2 linked regions of the Cricetulus griseus genome follow. The protein of the gene in region 1 interacts with the protein of each later gene in a pairwise test. Links are inferred from orthologs where the notes say so. Each region holds a gene or a part of one and is shown in the gene's direction. Other genes may lie near its edges.

Region 1 (10,383 bases):
TCAGTTTGTGCAGTTAAACGCTTTCTCTTTGTAGGATATAAATACCTTTCAGGGTTCAGTCTGAAACTTGCATGTAATTTAACTGGATGTGTTTGGTCCCAGTGGAGCAACACCTTAAGGAAAATAATGATACATTCCCTGTGAAGAAGCTTGGCTTGAAGGGAGAGAGCGCTTTCACCCCCATCCCTTTGTGCTAATAACACAGCTCATATTTTAATAAAGATTCAAGCCCTCTAGCAGATAGTTCATAGGGAAGAAATGCAGATCAATAAACATATAAAACTGTTCAGGTTTATTCATAATTAAAGCAATATAAATTAAAGCAACAATGAGATAGATAACATTTTTTCACCCATCATAATGATGCCCATTAAAAAATCCCATAATCCCTTTGTTAATACTGCTGTGAAATAAAAAAAAAACACTTTATTTCCTTGGTGGATCCTACTTTGTGCGTCCTCTTTGGATGCACTTTTATATTAGTTGGCCAGTATAACTCAAAGTCATCAACACACATGCCTTTGACACTCACAGTGCCACTCCCTGTTCTATGGACACATTCATGCAAAAAGGAATGCCCATAATAAACACTCAGTCCCACTGCTTTTTAGAAGCAAACAGCACTGGACACTCATGTTCACAAGTTTGAGGAGAAATTAGTGGGATGAGTTGAAGAGAAATTATGTACTTCTGTTCTGATACAGGTGGGGACTCCAGAACATACTGTTAACTTACAAAATAAGTTGGCTAATAGCATACTCCTCAGATATATGATTTCATTTGTGTGAGGTCTTTGGACACTGCAAACATAGAGACATACCTCTAACCCAGAAGTGTTCTGATCTCTTCCTTCCCATTTGCAAAGGCATCTGTCTAACTTCCATATGAGAAAACCTTGGCTTCTTCTCTGGGAGCCTACCATTGAAGCTTTCTGCAGCCCACTTTGCATACTTGGCCATGGCCATCCTTCCAGACCTGGGTATAATTGAAAACCTGGCAGAGCTGTAGACCATTGAAATTCCAACATTAGCAGAATAGAGAGTGGAAGACTTTCAGAGTATTTGGATTCCAAGTTTAGGAACATTTCAGATGGAAATTATGATACAGATAAGGTTATGTAAAGGGTAAGATGTTAGACATGTACTATGGAACAAATTCAAAGTAATACAGAGGATTGTGTTTTATCTCTCAGCTATCCTTGGCACCCAATGCAAGAGAAGAAGGTATACAAAGAAAGTAGAGTGGTAGTATTTCTGGATGACCTCAGGGGTCCAGGAATGGGGAACAAAGCCTCCCCACTCTTGCTTTGATTCAGGTGTTGGGTTCCTATGCCACCAGGGGGCAGTGCCTCCACATGCACAAAGGCCATTGTTCCTGTTCCCAGGAAGCCCCAGTGGGTCAAGTCCAGTTGCAGCAGAGGTGTGGGCTAGGAACCTTAGCTCAAGTCCATGTGTCAAGTCAGTGCTCCTGACTTCTGAGCTCTTGTCTCAATCCAGACCCTGTAGGGAGAAAAGACTATTAGCTCTATTGTCTATCAAACAGACTGTGACACAAACAATAGCATTGTGTAACCAATACTCAGGTCTTGAGGAGGAAGGGCAGGACAGGGTTCTCAAATAAAATACAGGATACTCATTTACATTTGAATGCTGTATTAACATGAATAACTTTAGTGTAAGTAGATTCCAAATGTTGCATAGAACACAGTACTAATGCTAATAATGATTCTTTTTCTTATCTGAAGTTCATTTATTTCACATATTTTTATTTGTTCAATCTGGTAACTGTGGTTGGACAGAAATGTAAGGCTCAGCTTCCGGAGCTCCTAGACTTTACTGAACACACTAGGCACTTTCTCTGCCACTAAGATGTGTTCCTCCACAAAGCTCAGGTTTCATTGTGGCTCTCCCAAGGAGAGAATTGTTCAGGACCCCAGGAATGCAGTAAGGTTGCTCTTATAAGATTTCTGAGCTGGGCTAGGGGTGTCACCAAGCCACATTCCCTCTATTAGTCCTATTTCCTCCCTTTCCTTCCTCCTTTTCTTCCTCCCCTTCCCCTTGTCTTAGTTCTCTCTTCCTCTTCCAAGCTGGGCCCAGCTGTGATTGATTCCTTTGACAAATAACCTTTTCTCTCTTCAGTGGCTCCAGGACTTAGAGCCAGGGTTTGACCATTAATAATGGTATCAGCCTAAGACACTACAGGGGAACACAGCAGACAGGATGCACATGCAGATGCCTAAGTATATAGAAGTTCATTTAAACAATTGACTCTGGGACTGCAGGGAATTTGGCTGGCTGGGAATCTGGGCAAGAATTGTTGCTGCTATCCTGGAGTAGACTTTTGTCTTCCTCTTGGAAACCTCAATGTTACAATAAATCTTTCCGCCAAAAGCCGCCAGAGCCCTATCGCCACATGGGCGGTCTCCACCAGCCGCCCGAGTTCTGCCTGCCTCGTGGATGGACAAAATAATACAGAGACATATTAGGCACAAAGCTGCTTGGTCAATGACTAGGATTTCTCATCTGTTAGCTCAGTCTCAATTATCATAATTAAGACTTATTTTTTCGGACGCCTTATTGGCGTCCCTCCTTGCTGGTGGATCACATTGCGCCACTGGAGGAAGAGCAAAAAAGGGGGACATTTCCTGTTTCCATTGCTTTTATATGGGTCTCCTTGCTATGTCACTTCCTGCCTGGATCACCACTTCTCTACTACATTTCCCAGAATACTCTTTGACTCCTAGTCCTGTCTAATTTGCTGTCTCATGGGCCAAACAGTATTTTATTTAACAATCAATAAGATAAACATACACAGAAGTACTTCTCCCATCATCTCCTCTTTTCTGTCTAAAATAAAAGGATAACTGAAGAAAACTATAACCATAACTATCTGTCTTCGATTCTATCAAAGACCACAGAAGGATAATATATAAACTCTAGAATTGGCAGAGACATCTCTCTACCTGGACAGTCACCCAAAGCTTCTCTGTAACGTTGGGGCATCCATCTTCAGCCGATAGGCCACAGTGTGTCTGGCATACTTCTCCATTTCAGCAGGAACCCTTCAGTACTGTCTTGTTTTGTAAGTTTAGCAGTTACTTTCTTGTGGGTCCTGCATGTCCAGTTTATACAGCAACAAACAGTCCAGGCAAGAGCAGTTTCTTGCTCAAATGGCTAATCTTGCCATGTTGAAAGCAAACTTCATAACGAGTTTCTTAGATGCCCATCTTCCTTTCTGACATAATTGGTGTGCCAGGAGCAGTTGTGTCTCACTGTCAAGAAAAACCCTAAACCATTTAAATGCCATATGTCTGTAGGTCTTTGAAAGGTTTGAAGAATACCTAACCATCTCAAATACATCTCTATATCTAGAAAACCTAACTAACCTAATTATAAGTTCTGACTATTATAGGTAAAAGATCTGTATAAACACAATACCTAAACAAGAGGAGACATATACATATCACAAAATTGACCTTAAAATTGTATCAATAAATGAAAATCTATACCAATGCAAAGTATTCATTCCTATATCCTATTCCCCTTTTTTTCTTTAAAAAATTGACTATGCTCATTATCATTTATAACCAACCCTATTTAAATGAAAACAAACATTTATAAACACTATTTGGGACTATGGGTGTCATTCTTTCTAAACTGCTTCCTGCTGATTGGGGGAGATGTTCATACCATTGGGATCATGATAAAATATAGAAACCTGACCAAGTCCTTGTTTTTGTAGTCTGTAAGGCTGTATCATCTCAGCTTCAGGGGGTCTTGCTTGATCAAACCATATTAGTCTTGAAGGAATCAACAGCTTTTCATTTTCTGTGGAAATACAAGCAAAACCTTTATTTCTAAGTACCCTGTCCTTAATCTTAAATTTTGAAGTTAGAACATTTTTGAAATGTATAAGTTGGATTAATTTAGCAGCATTTATAATCAAATGTATTTTAGCAGCAGTAAGTCTTTCCTTGGCAATCAAACAATTTAAAGAGAACAATATGGCATATAGTATCCAGATTCTCTGTGTATTTTCCGTCTTTATGTGGCTTTTTTATTACTTTATTTTTACTATCTTTCGTTTATTTTTTCTGAGACAGGGTTTCTCTGTGGAAATCTGCCTGCCTCTGCTTCCTTCAGCAAATCCTACCGGCGTGAGCCACCACACCCAGCTACTCTATTTCCTCCTGTTATTTTTTCTCTCACAAGCCTACATATATTTTTAAATGCAGTGTAAACCTTTAGAGGTTTTTCTTTATCTGGATCTGTCTGTATCATCTTGGGAGTGCTGAGTCCAAGGCCCAAGAGCGCCGGGACGGCGTGAGCCTATGGAAGCTGTTCCAATGCCTCTCAGCACCCTGACAGGGCAGGCTGTGGTGGCAGGTTTCCCTCATTCTCTGGGAACCTTGGGGCATGGGGTCATCCCACTCACTGACCCATTCCTTAAGGTTTGCACTTGATTCTTTCAGCACATTGGTTGAGTACAAGCACCTGACTGGGAGGAAGCCATTTTATTTAAAGTCCATTAGGGATAATAATCACAGCTGCAGTATACCTTTGCAGAAATACTGAGAGTTGAGTGTCTGATAAACTCACTGGGGATCAGAACCTGACTAAATTGACACATACATCTGGTCTAATCTGTAGAAAAACTGAGGCAGAGCTGAAACATACAGCAGGGTACACAAGCCCAGCATGTCCCTCTTGCCCCTCCCTGCTTCCTTCCCAGGATTCATATCAGACAAGGCCATCTACTTTGCTTGAAGACTCTGCATTGGAGGAGGCAGGATGTTCTGTACAGAGAAGCTCCTCTGATAGAGTGCTGTACCCTAGATTACTGGCCAGTCATGGGCTTGTAGAAACCATGATAAGCATGGGACCTGTCACTGCTTTGGGCACTTATGGATGCTTGGGCCGTATGCCAGCCCTTGTCTCTTTCTAGACCATGATGGAGGATGGGATCCTCCTACCCGTGAGTAGCAAAATCAAGGGGAGATGAATCAGGGCAGCTCACAAAAACAGTACCACTTAGAGCACTATCTCATCTCCAAGTTGCTTACACAGCAGAAGAGAAGGCGGCCACGAGACCCACCAACAAGATACAGTGGGAACTCAAGGTGCCAATCCAAGGCCTGAGCACAGAGAGGGAGAACTGGCTCCACCCTCTTGTGCCAGTATATCTCCCTCACATTTCTACCCCTGGAAGAGGCGAGCTTCCAAGTGTCTTCTCTGTGCCATCCACCCTGAACAACCTTACAAATGAATACCTGGTGGTGATGGCAGAAAGCCCTTCCAATGTCAAAGAAGGGTATAAAATGTCCATTTCTGAAGATCTAGGGACTGGAAACTTTGACCAAAGCCAAGAACAACCAGTGATGTCAGGTGAGAATCCCCTAAAAAGCCTGTTGGGTATAGTTAATCATGTGCGTTTACTTGTGCTGCTTCTACAACATCCCAGTCATTGTGCATGCTGTTTACTTAGTCTGGAAGGTTATTCGTTTGTTTTAGGTATTTCAGTGTTGATTTATGCTTTTCTTTTGCCATATTAGCTTGTTTTGGTTTTTAATCATTCATGAACCATTTACATATCTGAATTTACATGGATGGAAGATTTTATTATTGGTATTTCCTATTCTCTCATACATAGAGATGGTTTGTGTTTGGGATTTCATCTCTTGATCATTGCTCATGCTACAGAATCCTAGGCCCAGGGCCAGATTTTCAGTAAATACATACTGACCTGTTGAACAGATGGACAAATAGGCTGAGCATCAGAAGTGAATGGGTATTGAGTGATTTCTGCTGTTTTCAGTACCCAGAAAGTTCTGGTAAAACCTTTAAAGCAGTATTCATAGCAGTCTCTGTTCTTCTTTCTAGAAATGATGGAACGTGGGTCCCGGTCACTGGGAGGAATCCAAAGACGTCCAAGGGCAGAGCAAAAACCTGCTGGATCTGGTTCAGGCCAGTCATTTTGGAATGTGACTGGACCTCGTCCCAAGAAAGGGGTATTGACAAATGGTGGCTAGTTTAGGGTGGGAAGTTCTTACTTTGGGGCTCCTGTATTCCCATGGTAGATATAGCTAGAAGTTGATCATTAGGAGGAGGAAGCTTCCATATACCAATAAAGCAAATGAATGAAGGGTAGATCATTGGAAGGTTAGGGTTGTACTGTATAATGCTGGGACTTCAATGCTAGAAGTCTGCATGCCTAGCAAACATGTTGACTGGAAAATGCATCTATAGTTGACCCTCTACATTCCTAGGTCTTGCATCCATTGGCTCAATCGATCACAGATGGACACTGTCTGTGGGTGGAGGTGGAGTGATTACATCTCTAGAGAATACATGCAAGATGTTTTTCTTGCAATGATTATCTACACAATATAGTATAAGAATTACTTAGATGGCATTTACATTTTATTAGACATTATAAATAATATAGTAATTATTTCAATTATATAAAAAGATATGATTATGCTATATTCTAATATTATGACCTTTTACACAAGCAACTTGGGAATCTGCAGAGCTGCATAACCATAGTGAGGCGTTTATTCTAGAAACAGTCTCCATGGATACCAAGGGATGACTATACAATTCTTTATAAACTTCCAAGGTGTGAAATGATGTTTTCTTTTAAATTACTTAAAATCATCTTGAAGGTTTACATTCATCTTCAGTAGGTAGCTTGGGTTTTCAAGGGATGCCTGCATGTAAAAGTTCTACCAAAAGACAGAGAAGCCTGTCACTGCATTTTCCTTGGCACAGCACACAAGGCTAGAAGCTACCAATAGGCATGGTGTGTGTGTGGGGGGGGGCACAGGAAGATGAAATGACATCATGGGGCTCCTATGGGGTGTACTGTTGATTCATGCACAATGCGGTGCTAAAAGGGTGACTTGGAATGGTGTATCCTTTCTTTCTGTAGGGTCATCAGGTGCAGATGCCCCGGATGCCAAGAGATCACAGTCAGGTGGATGGCTATCTCCAGGAGTTTCCTGGCAACTTCCAAACAGGGAGGGTCCCTTATGAGCGGTAAGAGTTCAATTGTCTTGTTCCTAGCTACTGGGGGAGGAACAAGCAGAGGGTAGGGCCATAGGGACTAGTGAGCATCCGAGTCGAGAAGCAGATGTATATACTTGAAGTATTGGGATACTATTGCCTCCTGGCCATTTGGGATCTACGTATGCTTTGGCAAAGCCTCCGGCTTCTTTACTACACAAGGGAAGGACTGGGATCTTTATCCAAAAAGCCTTCAGGCATACCTTATTGCTCTGTGTCTTTTCTATGGCCACCAACACCTCTGAGCCATGTAACCTTTCCTTCCAACAGTCTGGAGGCAGATTTAGTGGCAGAGATTGGCCTGGAAGAACTCAATGGGCTGGAGATGGAAGTCATGAGAAGGCAGGTAAGCATCTGTTGTATAGTTGGAGGAAGCATCATAGTGCTTTGGAGTGGGTGATTTTGGCAGTTGTGAACAAAGCCACCCCCGAGTTTTCATAGCCTTTGTCCAAATCATATCCTGTAGCAAATGAAGTGAGGTTGGGCTCTCCTTTCTGTTCTTCTCAGGCCTCATGCCTTGAGTACCTCATGTTGATGTTCACCCTTGACTTTCCTTTATGCTGGAGATGCTGGACAGGAATTGGGGAAGAGAAAAGGATGTGGAAGGGGGAACAAAGATTCATTTTGGTTTTGGTCATATTTTCCCCCTACCCTTATGTCTTGCCTTTCTCATAAGAGTGATTCCTGCTCACAAGTCCTGTGTTTGGTCCTTCCACAGATGCAAGTGATTTCTGGGCGGCTGCGTGCCCTTGAGGACCAGGATGCCACGTGGCGCCATAAGGAGGCTGTGCTCTTTAGTTTGCTGGTCTCAGTCTGCATAGCCAACCTGTGGCTTTGGATGCGTCAGTAAAGTTTCACAAACACCACAACCCCATTAGAGCCATTCCTTTCTTTCGTCTTCCCTTTGCTTTCAAGGATGCCCTTATCCACGCCATTCTATCTCCCAGCAGCCCCCCAGGTAGCAGTTGGGTCATTTTACCCCTCTGCTTGGGCCTTCTGCCTGGAGATACGCTCACTCTATTGTGAGATTCTAGCTGCTGCGAGGCTAGGGAACCACTGGGTAGCACCATACAGGTATGCCTGGGTTGAGATGCCTCTCCTCTGGAGGAATTAAAGGATGGCACCAGCCCTGAAAGAAGCACTGACATAAACACCTAACCATCTCTGCTTTGTGGGCCTGGTCTCTGTAACCCAACATTGCTTTTCTTCCGTTCTCTGTGGGCAGGGTTTGCTTTTTGATTCCTCCTTTGTTTACTTCCACACCACTCAAGCCTTTGCTCAGACAACATGCTCAATAAATGCTTCATGACTGCAGCAAAACTTGGTGCCAGAAGTTCTTGACCTAACCTTACTTTTGTCAGGGTTGGGAGGTACAATAGGGGATAGCCCTCTGCTCCAAGACAGTGTGCCTAGAACTGGGTTGCTGCTATTGCCCCAAGGTCCCTGGTGTCCTCCACTGCCTATCATTCCCCACCCTCACTGTCTTTAGCCAAGTCTTCACACAGTCCTTCCCATTGGTGACATGTCATTGATTGTTTGTAGGACTTGTCAGGTGGTATAGTGATTCAATCAGAGAAAATGACATCGAAAGGATCAGAAACCTTTCCATTTTCCCAAAGAAAAAACGAGTTCCTGAGAGGAACTATGAGTCTCTGGGGTTTTCTAGCAAGACAGGGAAAACATTGTGCCCTGGCTAAGTTCTCCCTAGTCCTAAACTAGGGAGTGTCTTGCTTTCTACTGAATATCTGAGGATGGGGTCCTGAGAGAGCTCTAGATGCTACAGCACTGTCCTTTGTACTTATAGCCCTAAACGTCACATTTCAGATAGCTCAGTCACTAGGCAGGCTTACCTGGCTGCTACTCCTTTCCCTGAGACCAAGTGGTTGACACACATTTGATAGTTTTAAGGCTGATTGCCTATTGGCTTGGAGTTAGCACCTACACTATCAGAGTCCAGATTTGTGTGTGTGAGAGAGAGTCAGAAAGTTGTTTACAGATATTTTTAGCGCAGGAGGACTCTGGTGGAATGAATTGAAAGTGGCTTGATGACAGAAAAGTAACCAAGACAAATCTTTTTGGGTGTGGGAACCTAGAACTTTTACATCACCTTTGTGGCTAAGTGAAACTTCTCCAGGCGGCAAATCTATCAAGAATTCTCCATCTGTAGGAGAATGTGTGTCATCGGAATATGAAAAGAACTGTGTATAGGGGTGGGGGATGGAAAGAGTAGGAGAGAGGAGGTAAAAGAGAAATGGTGAAGAAAGAAGAGGCTTGAGTCCCAAATTCTATTTGGCCATTACTCTGTCACCTCCCTCTTATCCTTAGGGGACCCCATGCAATGCAAGGCTTCCTCTATTCCAAATATGCTGGGGACTGATGTGCTTCTGAGATGAGAATACAGGGCCTGCTGTCAGCTCAGTGGAACCCTAGACATGTGGCATTGAAGCCTTACCCTGCTAGAAGGTGAGAGAAGCCCACTTAAGAGATGCTTGGCAAGTTTTCTCTCTGGCCCCAGAGCAGAAAAGGTAGTAGGGTACCAGAGGAAACCCTTTGCAGAATTTAAAAAAAGACACTGCCTAATCATAAGTGCTTTGTACTGGGATAGTCAAGGGCACTGTCTGCACCTCTAAAAGGGCCCTAGAAACTAAGCCCAGAGTAGGGTTGGGAGATTTTGTGGAAGACATTCCCTCAACTTTCTGCAGCCCCAGGAAAGGATGGGGTCTTCTGCAGCCCCAGGAAAGGATGGGGTCTGTAATGAGTCTTTCTCTGTCCCACCAGATGGCTGCCAAATAATGACATGGAGATTCATTTATTATGAAAGCTTGGCCTATAGCTTAGGCTTGTCCCCACTAGCTCTTATAACTTATATTAATCCATTTATATTCATCTACGTTTTGCCTCATGGCTTTTTATCATTCTTTCATTCTGTATGTCTGACTCCCTCCATGTCTTATTGGCATCTCCTGCACACTGAGATTCATCTCCCACTTCCTCTTTCTCTTACTTGAAGTCTTGGCTATACCTCATCTCTAGCTATTGGACATTCAGCTTTTTATTACACCAATCACAGAAATATATTTTCACACAGTGTACAAATATCCCACAACAGGGGTCCACAATGCAGATGGTTAAGAGAAACAGGGAGATGGAACAACCCATCTGTTCACACAGAGGCAGCATGTGGCACTTCCTGCCTCCATCACAATGCTTCCACTGCCTTTGGTGTTGTGAAAGGCAAACATAGGGTACAGATGAGCTTATGAACTAGACACCATGAGGTCATCCTTCACATGGTTACCCTAAAGATGCATCTCTATTC
Region 2 (10,665 bases), on another chromosome or scaffold:
GCACTTGGGAGGCAGAGGCAAGTCTCTGAGCTCAAGGCCAGCCTGGTCTACAGAGAAGGCAGTATAGTTGGGGAGTGACCAGCCATCCCCTGCTAAAGATGAAAGCTAGGTGTCATGGTGCCTTTGTGTGCAGTGCCCCCGTGTGGTGGTTGAGTGGACTTACGTTTGAGTATGCTGGGCTATCCAGACACAGTTGATCCTAGCAGTCTCCCAGGTGCTAGGTAGTCAGGGCTACCTTGAGGCCCTGGAATTTTTGGGTTTTTTTTTTTTTTCTGTTTTGAGTCAGGGTTTCTCTGTGGCTTTGGAGGCTGTCCTGGAACTAGCTCTTGTGGGCCAGGCTGGTCTCGAACTCACAGAAGTCCGTCTGCCTCCCGAGTGCAGAGTGATTGGGATTTAAGGCGCCACCACCGCCCGACGAGGGCTTAGAATTTGAAATTCCATGTCCCCCAGATGAAACTGGCTTTGCTGCGGAACCCTTGGTAAAAGCCCCTTACTAGAGGCTGAGCAGTAGTGGCGCACACCTTGTTAATCCCATCAAAGACTGGTGGATCTCAGGCCACTTTGGTCTAGGGAGCAAGTTCTCCAAAAATAAAAAAGCCATTACCAGAAGTGGCTGATGAATAAAACAGTCCTTGAGGAGAAATGAATCCCTCCCCTCCTGGTGGCCCGGCAAACCTCTTCAGATGGGTATCTTGCAGCGTTTGAAAATCAGGGGAAGTCACTGGAAACTAGTTGCTCCAGGCTGAGAGAGGTGGCCTGTGTTAGCCCATAAAGTCCATCTCAGGCTCCGTTGACTTGAGCTATCCGGCTCAAGTGAGCCTCCTAGCTGAAGCCCTGCTTCAGCCACTAGAGGGCAGCCGCTAGCCACTGCTGAAAAGCTTGAGTTCTAGCTTACTCTGGAGGGCTGAAAGCCCGCTGTCCTCTAAAAGCAGGCACCTTACAATAGTGGGGAGGATTCCTTAAGCCTCTTCAGGGAGAACTGAGTGAATTTTGGTTTTTCGAGGGCGCCACCACTGCCAGGCTCGAGAGGGATGCTCTAGCCTTGGACACTGGCCTGAAACTCAGATCTGCCTGCCTCTGCCTCCTGAGTGCTGGCAGTAAAGGTGTGTGTCCCACCCTGCTGATACTCTTAGTGCCAAACTCAGTTCCTGCATAACAGGAGAAACCAGCTCAGAAGACCAGTCAGCTGAACTCGGGCAAGCCAAAGGATCTCTGGTTCTTGAAGCCTAGGTAATAGTTGTTATTCTTGTTTTGTAGCCCAAACCTAAAAATGACCTGTAACTCATGACATCCTGCCTCCACCTCCAGTGCCGGGATTACAATCATGTACTACTAGATCTGGCCACTTGACCTATTTTTAAACTATGAGGTATTTCGGGCATGCAAAACGGTATTCAAAGCAGCCTTGCAAATACTCTCCAAACCCATGACGTCGAGGGTGCCTCTGGGGTTAAGAACACTTGTTCAGTTTCTAGCATCCATGTCAAGTGGCTCGCAACTACAGCTACAGCTCCAGGGACACCAATGGCCTTTAGCCTCAGGGGCACCTATATTCACGTGCAAGGCACACCTGCACACAAAAATAATAGCCGAGCCAGGCAGTGGAGGCACATGCTTTTGATCCCAGCACTGGAAAGGCAGATGAATCTCAGAATGATCTACAGAGTGAATTCCAGCACAGTCAGGGCTACACAGAGAAACCCTGTCTCCAGCCACCACTCCCCCCCCAAAAAAAAAAAAATGGGGTTAGAGAGATAGCTCAGCAGTTAGGAACACTGGCTGCTCTTCCAGAGTACCCATATGGCAGCTCACCACTGTCTGGGTGACACTTCCCACAGACGTACATGCAATTGAAACACGAATAAAATAATTTTAAAAGTAATTAAAGACAAAGCTCTTATGCAAGGAACATCAGTTGTAACTCAGTAGCTGAAACCTTGCCTGCCACAGGAGAGGCCCATACCCTGCACAGAACCAAACATCAGGGAATAAAGACACTAAAGAAAACTACAAAGTTGGGCTGGAGAGATGGCTCAGGGGTTAAGAGCACTGACTGCTCTTCCAGAGGTCCTGAGTTCAATTCCCAGCAACCACATGGTGGCTCACAGCCATCGTTATGAGATCTGGTGCCCTCTTCTGGTGTGCAGATAGACATGAAGGCAGAATGTTCTATACATAATAAATCTTTAAAAAAAAAAAAAACTGCAAAGTCAAAATAGGAGAGGCCACTGAGCTAGCTAAACACTTGCTGCTCTTCCAGAGGACCCTGGTTCAGTTCCTTTCGTCTATATGGCAGTTCACAACCATCCAGCTCCCAGGATATCTGATAACATACATTCAGACAAGGCACCCAGGCTCATAAAATGAAAAGGAAATTTTGTTGGAGACAGGGTTTCTCTGTATAACCCCTGGCTGTCCAGGAAGTTTCTCTGTAGACCAGGCTGCCCTTGAGCTCACAGAGATTCGCCTGCCTCTGCCTCCTAAGTGCTGGGATTAAAGGTGTGCACCACCACACCCAGCAAAACTATTTTTTTTTTTAGGTTGAGCGAAGCTGTCTGAGTCCTTCCCCAGCCCCAGCCCCAGAGACAAATGTACACATTTGTCTCTACCACAGGCCTCTGTCCCCAAACAGCATGATGGGTCATTTTGCCTTTGGAAGACAAGTCAACTCCTTCATCTACACCAGGTTTTTACTCCTCATTTCTGACACTGACTTGACCTGCCTCTGCCTCCCAAATGCTAGGATTAAAGGCTTGCACCACCACCACCACCCAGCTCAAATTATCTTTCATTTATTTTTTTGTCTTTTGGGGGAGGTGTGTTTGTGTGTGTGTGTGTGTGTGTGTGTGTGTGCACACTACATGTGTGCATGAGTCCAGGTACTTGAGAATGTTGGACCCTCTGAAACTGGAGTTAAAAACAGTTGTAACCCACATGTAAGTGTGGGCATGGAACTTGAACTCAGGTCTTCCACCAGAACTGTATGTGCTAAACGGCTCCTAAACGGCTGAGCCCATCTCTCCAGCTCCTATCTTTGGGTTGGTTTATTTGAGACAGTCTTGTATAGCTCTGGCTAGCCTGGAACTCTTTTTTTTTTTTTAAGGTTTATTTATTATCTATACAGTGTTCTGCCTGAATGTCAGAAGAAGACACCAGATCGCATTATAGATGGTTGTGAGCCACCATGAACTCAGGACCTCTGGAAGAGCAGTCAGTGCTCTTAACCTCTGAGCCATCGCTCCAGCCCCCATAGCCTGGAACTCTTAACAGTCCTTATGCCTCTGCCTCCCTTTTGTTGTTACTTTGACTTATTTTGTCTGAGGCACAGTCTGTGACACCAGCTGACCTGGAGCTTGCCTTTATCCTGTCTCAGCCTCCCAAATTCTGGGATTATAGGCATTTGCCAATACACCTATCTTAGTGATTTTTTTTTTTTGCCTTGTCTTCATACATGCTAAAATTGCCTAACTACTTACTTAGTATCTTCAAAGAGCCATTTCCAGAGGACTGGAGAGATGGCTCAGCAGTTAAGAGCACTGACTACTCTTACAGAGGACCCAGGTTCAATTCCCAGCACCCACATGGCAGCTGACAACTGTAACTACAACCCAGTGCCTTTCCACAGGCAAAACAAAACACCAATGCAAATTAAAAATAAATAATTAAAAAGAAAAAACATTTAGCTGGGCATTGGTGGCGTACACCTTTAATCCCAGCACTGGGGAGACAGAGGCAGGTGAACTCTGAGTTCGGAGCCAGCCTGATCTACAGAGTTCCAGGACAGGCTCTAAAGCAATACTGAGAAACCCTGTCTCGAAAAACCACACACACACACACACACAAAAACCTCCATTTCCTTGTTATAAAACAGACTTTTGTTAGCTAGAAGGTGATGACGAATACCTTTAATCCCAGCATTTAGGAGACAGGGGCAGTCAGATCTCTGTGAGTTAACTTTTGTTAACATTTTAAATTTTATTTATTTTATGTATATGGTTATATTGTGAGCATATATGTCTGTGTACCATGTGCATGACTGGTGCCAACAGAGACAAGGAAAGGGTGGCCAGGGAGCTGGAGAGATGGCTCAGAGGTTAAGAGCACTGGCTGCTCTTCCAGAGGTCCTGAGTTCAATTCCCAGCAACCACATGGTGACTCACAACCATCCGTTATGAGATCTGGTGCCCTCTTCTGGTGTGCAGATGTACATGGAAGCAGAATGGTGTATACATAATAAATAAAATCTTAGAAAGAAAGAAAGAAAGAAAGAAAGAAAGAAAGAAAGAAAGGAAAGCCGGGCGTTGGTGGCTCACATCAGTCAGGAGGCAGAGGCAGGCAGATCTCTGTGAGTTCAAGACCAGCCTGGTCTCCAGAGCGAGTGTCAGGACAGGCTCCAAAGCCACAGAGAAACCCTGTCTTGAAAAACCAAAAAAAAAAAAAAAAAAAAAAAAAAAAAGAGAGAGAGAGAGAGAGAAAAAAGAAAGAAAGAAAGAAAGAAAGAAAGAAAAGGGTGTCCTATCCTTTGGACCTGGAATTAGAGCTGGCTGCGAGCTGCCATGTAGGTGCTAGAGCAAACACAGGTTATCTGGAGATTACATACAGGAGTAGGCCACCTGTCTCATGTTTTCTTTTTCTTTTTTTTTTTTTTTTTTTTTTTTGGTTTTTCAAGACAGGGTTTCCCTGTGGCTTTGGAGGCTGTCCTGGCACTCGCTCTTGTAGACCAGGCTGGCCTCGAACTCACAGAAATCCACCTGCCTCTGCCTCCCGAGTGCTGGGATTAAAGGCATGTGCCACCAACACCCGGCCTGTTTTTTGTTTTTTGGTTTTTTTTAGGTTCATTTAGTGTTTATATGTCTGATTGTGAGCCACCATGTGGGTGCTAGGAATTAAACCTAGCTCCTTGACAAGAGAAATGAGTGCCCTTAACCAATGAACCATCCAGTTCCTCACCTTTAAAACAAAATGGACACAGGGAGCTCAATATACTGGCTAAACTGGCTGGCCAGTGAACTCCCTGTTACCCACACCCCAACCCCATCTGCCTGTTTCTTTGTTTTGTTTTTGTTTTTGTTTTTGAGACAGGGTTTCTCTGCGTCGTCCTGCCTGTCTTGGAGCTCGCTTTGTAGGTCAGGCTGTCCTCGAACTCACAGAATTCCACTTGGCATCTGCCTGTTTCTTATGTAGCCCAGGCTAGCCTCTTGGTTCGTTACTCTCCAATCTCAGCCTCCCAAATGCTGGGATGACTGGCATGAGCCACCACACCCCTCCGCTGAGTCCACTCCACCACAGACTGTATAGCCTGCCTGCAGCAGAGGCCTGCAAGGGTCCCTCTTCAGTAGGCCTTGAACCAGCCCCTTCCCCACCCAAGCCCGAGAGACTCAAGGGAATTGTGGCCAGTGCAGGTGCAGGGCAGTTCCTCTCAACTCAGGGCCTGAAACGCATGGCAGATAAAGGCCACTGGAGCTCATCTCCGTGGGGCCGAACAGGAAGTGAGGTAGAGTTTGGGGTGGAATCTGGTACCTCAGGGCTACTGCAACCCAGACGACTAACCGACTGACTGGGAGATGTCAGGGGGTCCAGGAGCTCCCGGAGTCCTGCCTCTCTTCCTTCTCTTCCTCTCCGAAGCCTGCCTAGGTAGTGTGGCCAAAGGGAAGGTGCTGGGCCAGGGGTGTGTGTGTGTGTGTGTGTGTGTGTGTGTGTGTGTGTGTGTGTGTGCACCCGAGCGCGCCCTAGAAGACAGGAGGGGTGGAGGGTGGAGAGGGAATGGGGGGGCGGGGAGCCGGACAGGATGGTGCATAGTGCATACCCTTTAAAGTAATTCTAGAGCTCAGGAGACTGAGGCGGGAAGGAGGAATATTGCATTTGAGGCCAGCCTGGTCTACGTAATGAGTTCTGTCATGGCTAGTAGACTGGGCAATTTACTGAGACCTCTCCCAAAAAGAAAAGAAGCAGGGGCAGGGACCCATGAGAAGCTTTCTGTACCCAAATGTACCCAGGATGGGTTGGAGGAGGCTCAGGGACGTCCACTGATAGGCCCAAGACCACCAGGCCCCACGACACACTACCGTATCTCCACAAGTAAGAATGAGGAACTGAGGTAAGTGTTGACTGAACAGGCTGAGGAGAGGGAAGGTCACCCCCTCAAAGTGTTACTAGGAACAGAGTCTGAGTCTGAGTCTTCAGCCCGTGACCATCAAGTTGCTCAGCTTCTTCTTTTCCCACTTTTTCTTCCTGACTTCCGACCTTCCTCTTCCATGCTGTGTCCAGGAAGGACACAGCTGCAAGCAAGCGTGGTCCTGGGGAGGCTGAGAATGCAGGCTTTCAAAGTAAACACAGAGTTGCTGGGCGTTGGCCTTTAATCCCAGCACTCGGGAGGCAGAGGCAGAGGCAGAGGCAGAGGCAGGCGGAGGCCAGCCTGGTCTCCAGAGCGAGTGCCAGGACAGGCTCCAAAGCTACACAGAGAAACCCTGTCTCGAAAAACAAAACAAAACAAAAAAACAAAAAAAAACAAAAAACAACAACAACAAAAAAAGATAAACACAGAGTGGACACCACAGCCACCAGTCTACCCTTGTCTCTCAGAGCTCCCTCCCTCTCCCCTAGACAGAACTCAGTCCCAGGTCCCCAAATTACAGAAGTGAGAAGCAGCCTATGCACAAAAGCCAAGCCAAGGCCAGGAAAGGACAGATTCAGGGAGGTGGTGGGAAAGCCACCACTTCCAATAGTCTGGGTGATGCTGCCCCTCCCTTACCCCAGTGGGGGTTCCTAAGGGTTGGGAAAAATGGAAACCATTCCTTCCCAATGAAGGAGAAGGCCTTCTTGAGTCTCTGAACCGAGTACTGCTGGTGTCAGGGGGACAAAATGCAAAGGAGTAACCGTGGCAAGAACCCACAGGGCGTCTCTCCCAGCATCACTGGTGTGAAGGACTCTGGATTGGGGCAATCAGGGCTGTCCCCAGCCTGTGACGCACTTGTCTCTTCTTGTCTCTCCACAGGCCCTAGATGCCAGGCCCTGAAGATAGAGGTACCACCATCACTGACGGTGAACCTGGGGGATGAGGCCCGCCTCACCTGCAAACACGACGCCAACAATCCTAATGTCACATGGTATTACGGTGATTTTCAATACAACTTCAACAACTCCATACCCGCAGTGTTCCTGGGTCCTGGTCAGGGGCCCAGAGGCGAGCTGGTCATCTCTAACGTGAACAAGAGCCATAGGGGCATATACAGGTGCCATGTGGAAGAAAACAACGAGGCACAATTCTCCTGTGGCACCTACCTCCGAGTGCGTAGTGAGTAGCAAGGGACACCGCCCCTCGGGTTCCCCGTCCTATCCAGAACACGGCTTTCATGGGAGCGGAGCCAGTTCCTCCCTCCTGGACCTACACCCAGCAGCACACAGGCTCTCACCTGTAGGATGGTGGCTTCAGGACTCCCTGACCTCACAGGGGGCAGGGCTGGGAGAGGAGGGGACACCGGAACAGCACGCTCCCTGTCTTCACAGAGCCAGTCCCTAGGCCCTTCCTGGACATGGGGGAAGGCACCAAGAACCGAATCATCACGGCTGAAGGGATCATCTTACTGTTCTGCGCAGTGGTCCCGGGAACGCTGCTGCTATTCAGGGTGAGTCTCCCAAGTGACACCCCCCCCAAGTCATCTGGGCTTGCCTCTTCCTGGACTGTGACTCCCAGTGTCCAGCCCGACCTCTAGATCCTGAGGTTCCTCCTCCAAAGCGTGGGAGGCTTCGAGTACCCCTCAATGTAATGAAAGGATTTTAAGTGGCACTGAGCTCAAGGGGTGTCGCGATGGCCCACTGGTCCTCTCTAGATACCTTCTCATTCTTCTCCTGTCCCACCAAAGGGCAGTCCCTCTAGAGCCCCTACTTTCCTTAGGCCACAAGGCAAAGATTATATATATATATATGTATATATATATATGTATATATATATATATACATATATATATATATATACATATATGAGGTTTTACTGTATAACCCTGAATGGCCTTGAACTCACAGAGATCTGACTATTTATGCCTCTCAATTTCTGCTGTAGAATTAAAGGTGTGTGTCACCATGTCTGCCCTTATTTATTTCCTATCAGTGTGTATATATGGATAGTGTGTGAGAGAGTTTGGGCATGTGAGTATGAGGGTTGGAGAATAACTTTCCAGAGTCCCCTCATTCCTTCCCGCTTTGGGTCCCCAGACCAAATTCATGTCCTCAAGTTTGCATGGCAACGTATTTTTTTTTCCTTTCCTTTTCTTCTTTTGTCTTTCTTTCTTTTCTTCTTTTGTTTTGTTTTGTCTTTTGAGAGAGGGTTTCTTTGTGTTAACAGCTCTGGCTGTCCTGGAACTCACTCTGTAGACCAGGCTGGCCTTGAAGTCACAGAGATCTGCCTGCCCCTGCCCCTGCCCCTGCCCCTGCCCCTGCCCCTGCCTCTGCCTCTGCCTCTCAAGTGCTAGGATTAAAGGCGTGCGCCACCTTTTTTAGTGGGGAGGTTGAGATGGGATCTTGCTGTGTAGTTCAGGCTGGGTCGGAACTCACTATATAGATCATATTGGCCTGGAATTCATAATCCTCCTGCCTCATCTTGCCAAGTACTGGAGTTACAGACATTCACCACCACTTCTTCAGTCTTTTTTTGGGGGGGGGGGTACGGTTTGAGACAGTGTTTCCCTGTGTAGCTTTGGAGCCTGTCCTGGAACTAGCTCTCGTAGGCCAGGCTGACCTCGAACTCACAAATACCCACCCATCATCACTGCCCGGCTGCACCACCACTTATTATACTTGTCATCACTGAAGAATAGCAGAGGGCCAGCACGATGGGTTACACCTTTAATCCCAGCAGCACTCAGAAGGCAGAGGAGTTCAAGGCCAGCCTGGCCCACTTAACGAGTTCCCAGGAGCTCACGCTACATAGAAACCCCGAGAAAGCTGGTGGAATGTGGTAGCAACCACACCCAGCATGCTTTGGAGAAATGTTCAAAGTCTGAGGCTCACAAGAAGAAAGAGAGGTTTGGAGAGCAGAATCCTCCAAGACCCCAGTGTGTGTGGCCTTGCGTGTGTGCCTTCTCCTTTCTGATAAAGCGCTTGCTCGTATGAGAGGGTCTGGAAACTCCTTCGCCTCCTCCTTGCTCACCGAGGCTATCTCATCCCCTCCTATAGAAGCGATGGCAGAACGAGAAGATTGGAGTGGACTTGCCAGATGACTATGAGGATGAAAATCTTTATGAGGTCAGCATTGAATGGGACTGTACTCGGGGTCGGTGCCCCGGAAGAGGGAGAGAGGCGCCAGGCCCGAGGGGCCCACTCTGGGGTTGACTGGCAACAGGGACCCCAGCTGCCAGGGTACTGATGTCTACTCTGTCCCCCGCAGGGCCTGAATCTTGATGACTGCTCTATGTATGAGGACATCTCCAGGGGCCTCCAGGGTACCTATCAGGACGTGGGCAGTCTGCACATTGGAGATGTCCAGCTGGAGAAGCCATGACTGGCATCCCCCGTCGGGCTGTGTCCTCTGTCCCTACCTGCCATAAGCCCAGCTCCAGCATCCCCGCCTCACAGCTCTTTCCCTGGAGTCCCCCCTTCTCCGGGGTGTGCCACCCTTGCCTCCAGACTGCCACACCCTACTCTCCCACCTAATTTTGTCCTTCCCCAAGTCTGTCCCCGGTTGGTTCCCGCTCCAGTGGGTAATGAGCCCTTAATCGCTGCCTCTAGGGGAGCTGATTACAGCAGCCTCGTTAGTGTCACCCCCTCCTCCCAGATCTGTCATGGCCACTTAAGTGCTAATAAATCCTTCCCAAAGCAGCCCTTGGCAGGAGTCATGGATCTCATGAGGACCGCCCCTCAACACTGCCAGGGAACCAGGAGCCGGAAGCCCGTCCTCGTCCCCTTCCTCCCTCAGACCTAGGGTTCTGGACCCAAGTTCTCACCTGCCCACTTCTGAGATCTGGGACTAGACAGTCACTCCGGGCTCCCCCCACCCAACCAAGAAACAGGAAGTCTCTTGGGGAAGTCCCCACCCCCAATTGAAGGGCTGGTTTAGGTCTTTTATAGGGCCTCACCCTCTCCACGGCCCTAAGCAAGGGGGAACCAGCAGGGTTGTCAGCAAACTATTAGGCATATTTAAGCTCTGAAAACACGAGGTATTATTTCCTCGGGGTGGGACTTAATTTCTCTCATGGGTTCACTTGCATAGGCAGATTTGGGGAGTTCATGTCAAGAACCCGAAGATGGTGGAGAGTGGCACTGCGGTGTGACCCAGGGGCACTCAGTCGGGAAGAGCAGACACAAGAAGGCGGTTAAAGACAGGAGTGAGGCAAAGGGGGGGACCCGGGGAGTCCCCAGAGACAGGGATAGAGAGAGAGAGAAGGGCACTTCTGAGATCTGGGACTAGACAGTCATTCCGGGCTCCCCCCACCCCGCCAAGAAGCAGACAGGAATTGGCTGGCCAGTGAGCCCGAGCCTGAGGGGCAACAACAGTTGAGGTCGCAGAGGATGAGAGCGACCCAGCGGCAAGAAAAGAGTGATAAAAGGCGCAGGGGACCGGCTGCTGCGGTTTGAAGCAGCAGAAGCCAGGGAGGAAGACAGCTTTGGGGGAAAGGGATGGATGGAGAGCCTGGGGCTCGCAGACGGTGAAGCTCGCCCGCCCGGGCGCGC

The links. The genes of interacting proteins can lie anywhere in the genome.
Region 2: the proteins of Fate1 (region 1) and Cd79a interact in binary tests that used the Homo sapiens proteins (3 or more experiments, as listed by UniProt). The two-hybrid records come from large-scale screens. The link is inferred for Cricetulus griseus from reciprocal best matches to the Homo sapiens genes FATE1 and CD79A.

The regions. Positions count from the first base shown.
Region 1 is NC_048604.1:3,688,584-3,698,966, reverse strand, and holds Fate1 (fetal and adult testis-expressed transcript protein), read left to right. Parts: upstream 1-5,278; coding exon 5,279-5,384; intron 5,385-5,879; coding exon 5,880-6,007; intron 6,008-6,930; coding exon 6,931-7,037; intron 7,038-7,334; coding exon 7,335-7,410; intron 7,411-7,782; coding exon 7,783-7,914; 3' UTR 7,915-8,329; downstream 8,330-10,383. UniProt on the Homo sapiens protein: Involved in the regulation of endoplasmic reticulum (ER)-mitochondria coupling. Negatively regulates the ER-mitochondria distance and Ca(2+) transfer from ER to mitochondria possibly implicating it in the regulation of apoptosis.
Region 2 is NC_048602.1:9,635,896-9,646,560, forward strand, and holds Cd79a (B-cell antigen receptor complex-associated protein alpha chain), read left to right. Parts: upstream 1-5,440; coding exon 5,441-5,494; intron 5,495-5,996; coding exon 5,997-6,097; intron 6,098-6,267; coding exon 6,268-6,326; intron 6,327-6,994; coding exon 6,995-7,294; intron 7,295-7,506; coding exon 7,507-7,625; intron 7,626-9,171; coding exon 9,172-9,240; intron 9,241-9,382; coding exon 9,383-9,496; 3' UTR 9,497-9,773; downstream 9,774-10,665. UniProt on the Homo sapiens protein: Required in cooperation with CD79B for initiation of the signal transduction cascade activated by binding of antigen to the B-cell antigen receptor complex (BCR) which leads to internalization of the complex, trafficking to late endosomes and antigen presentation.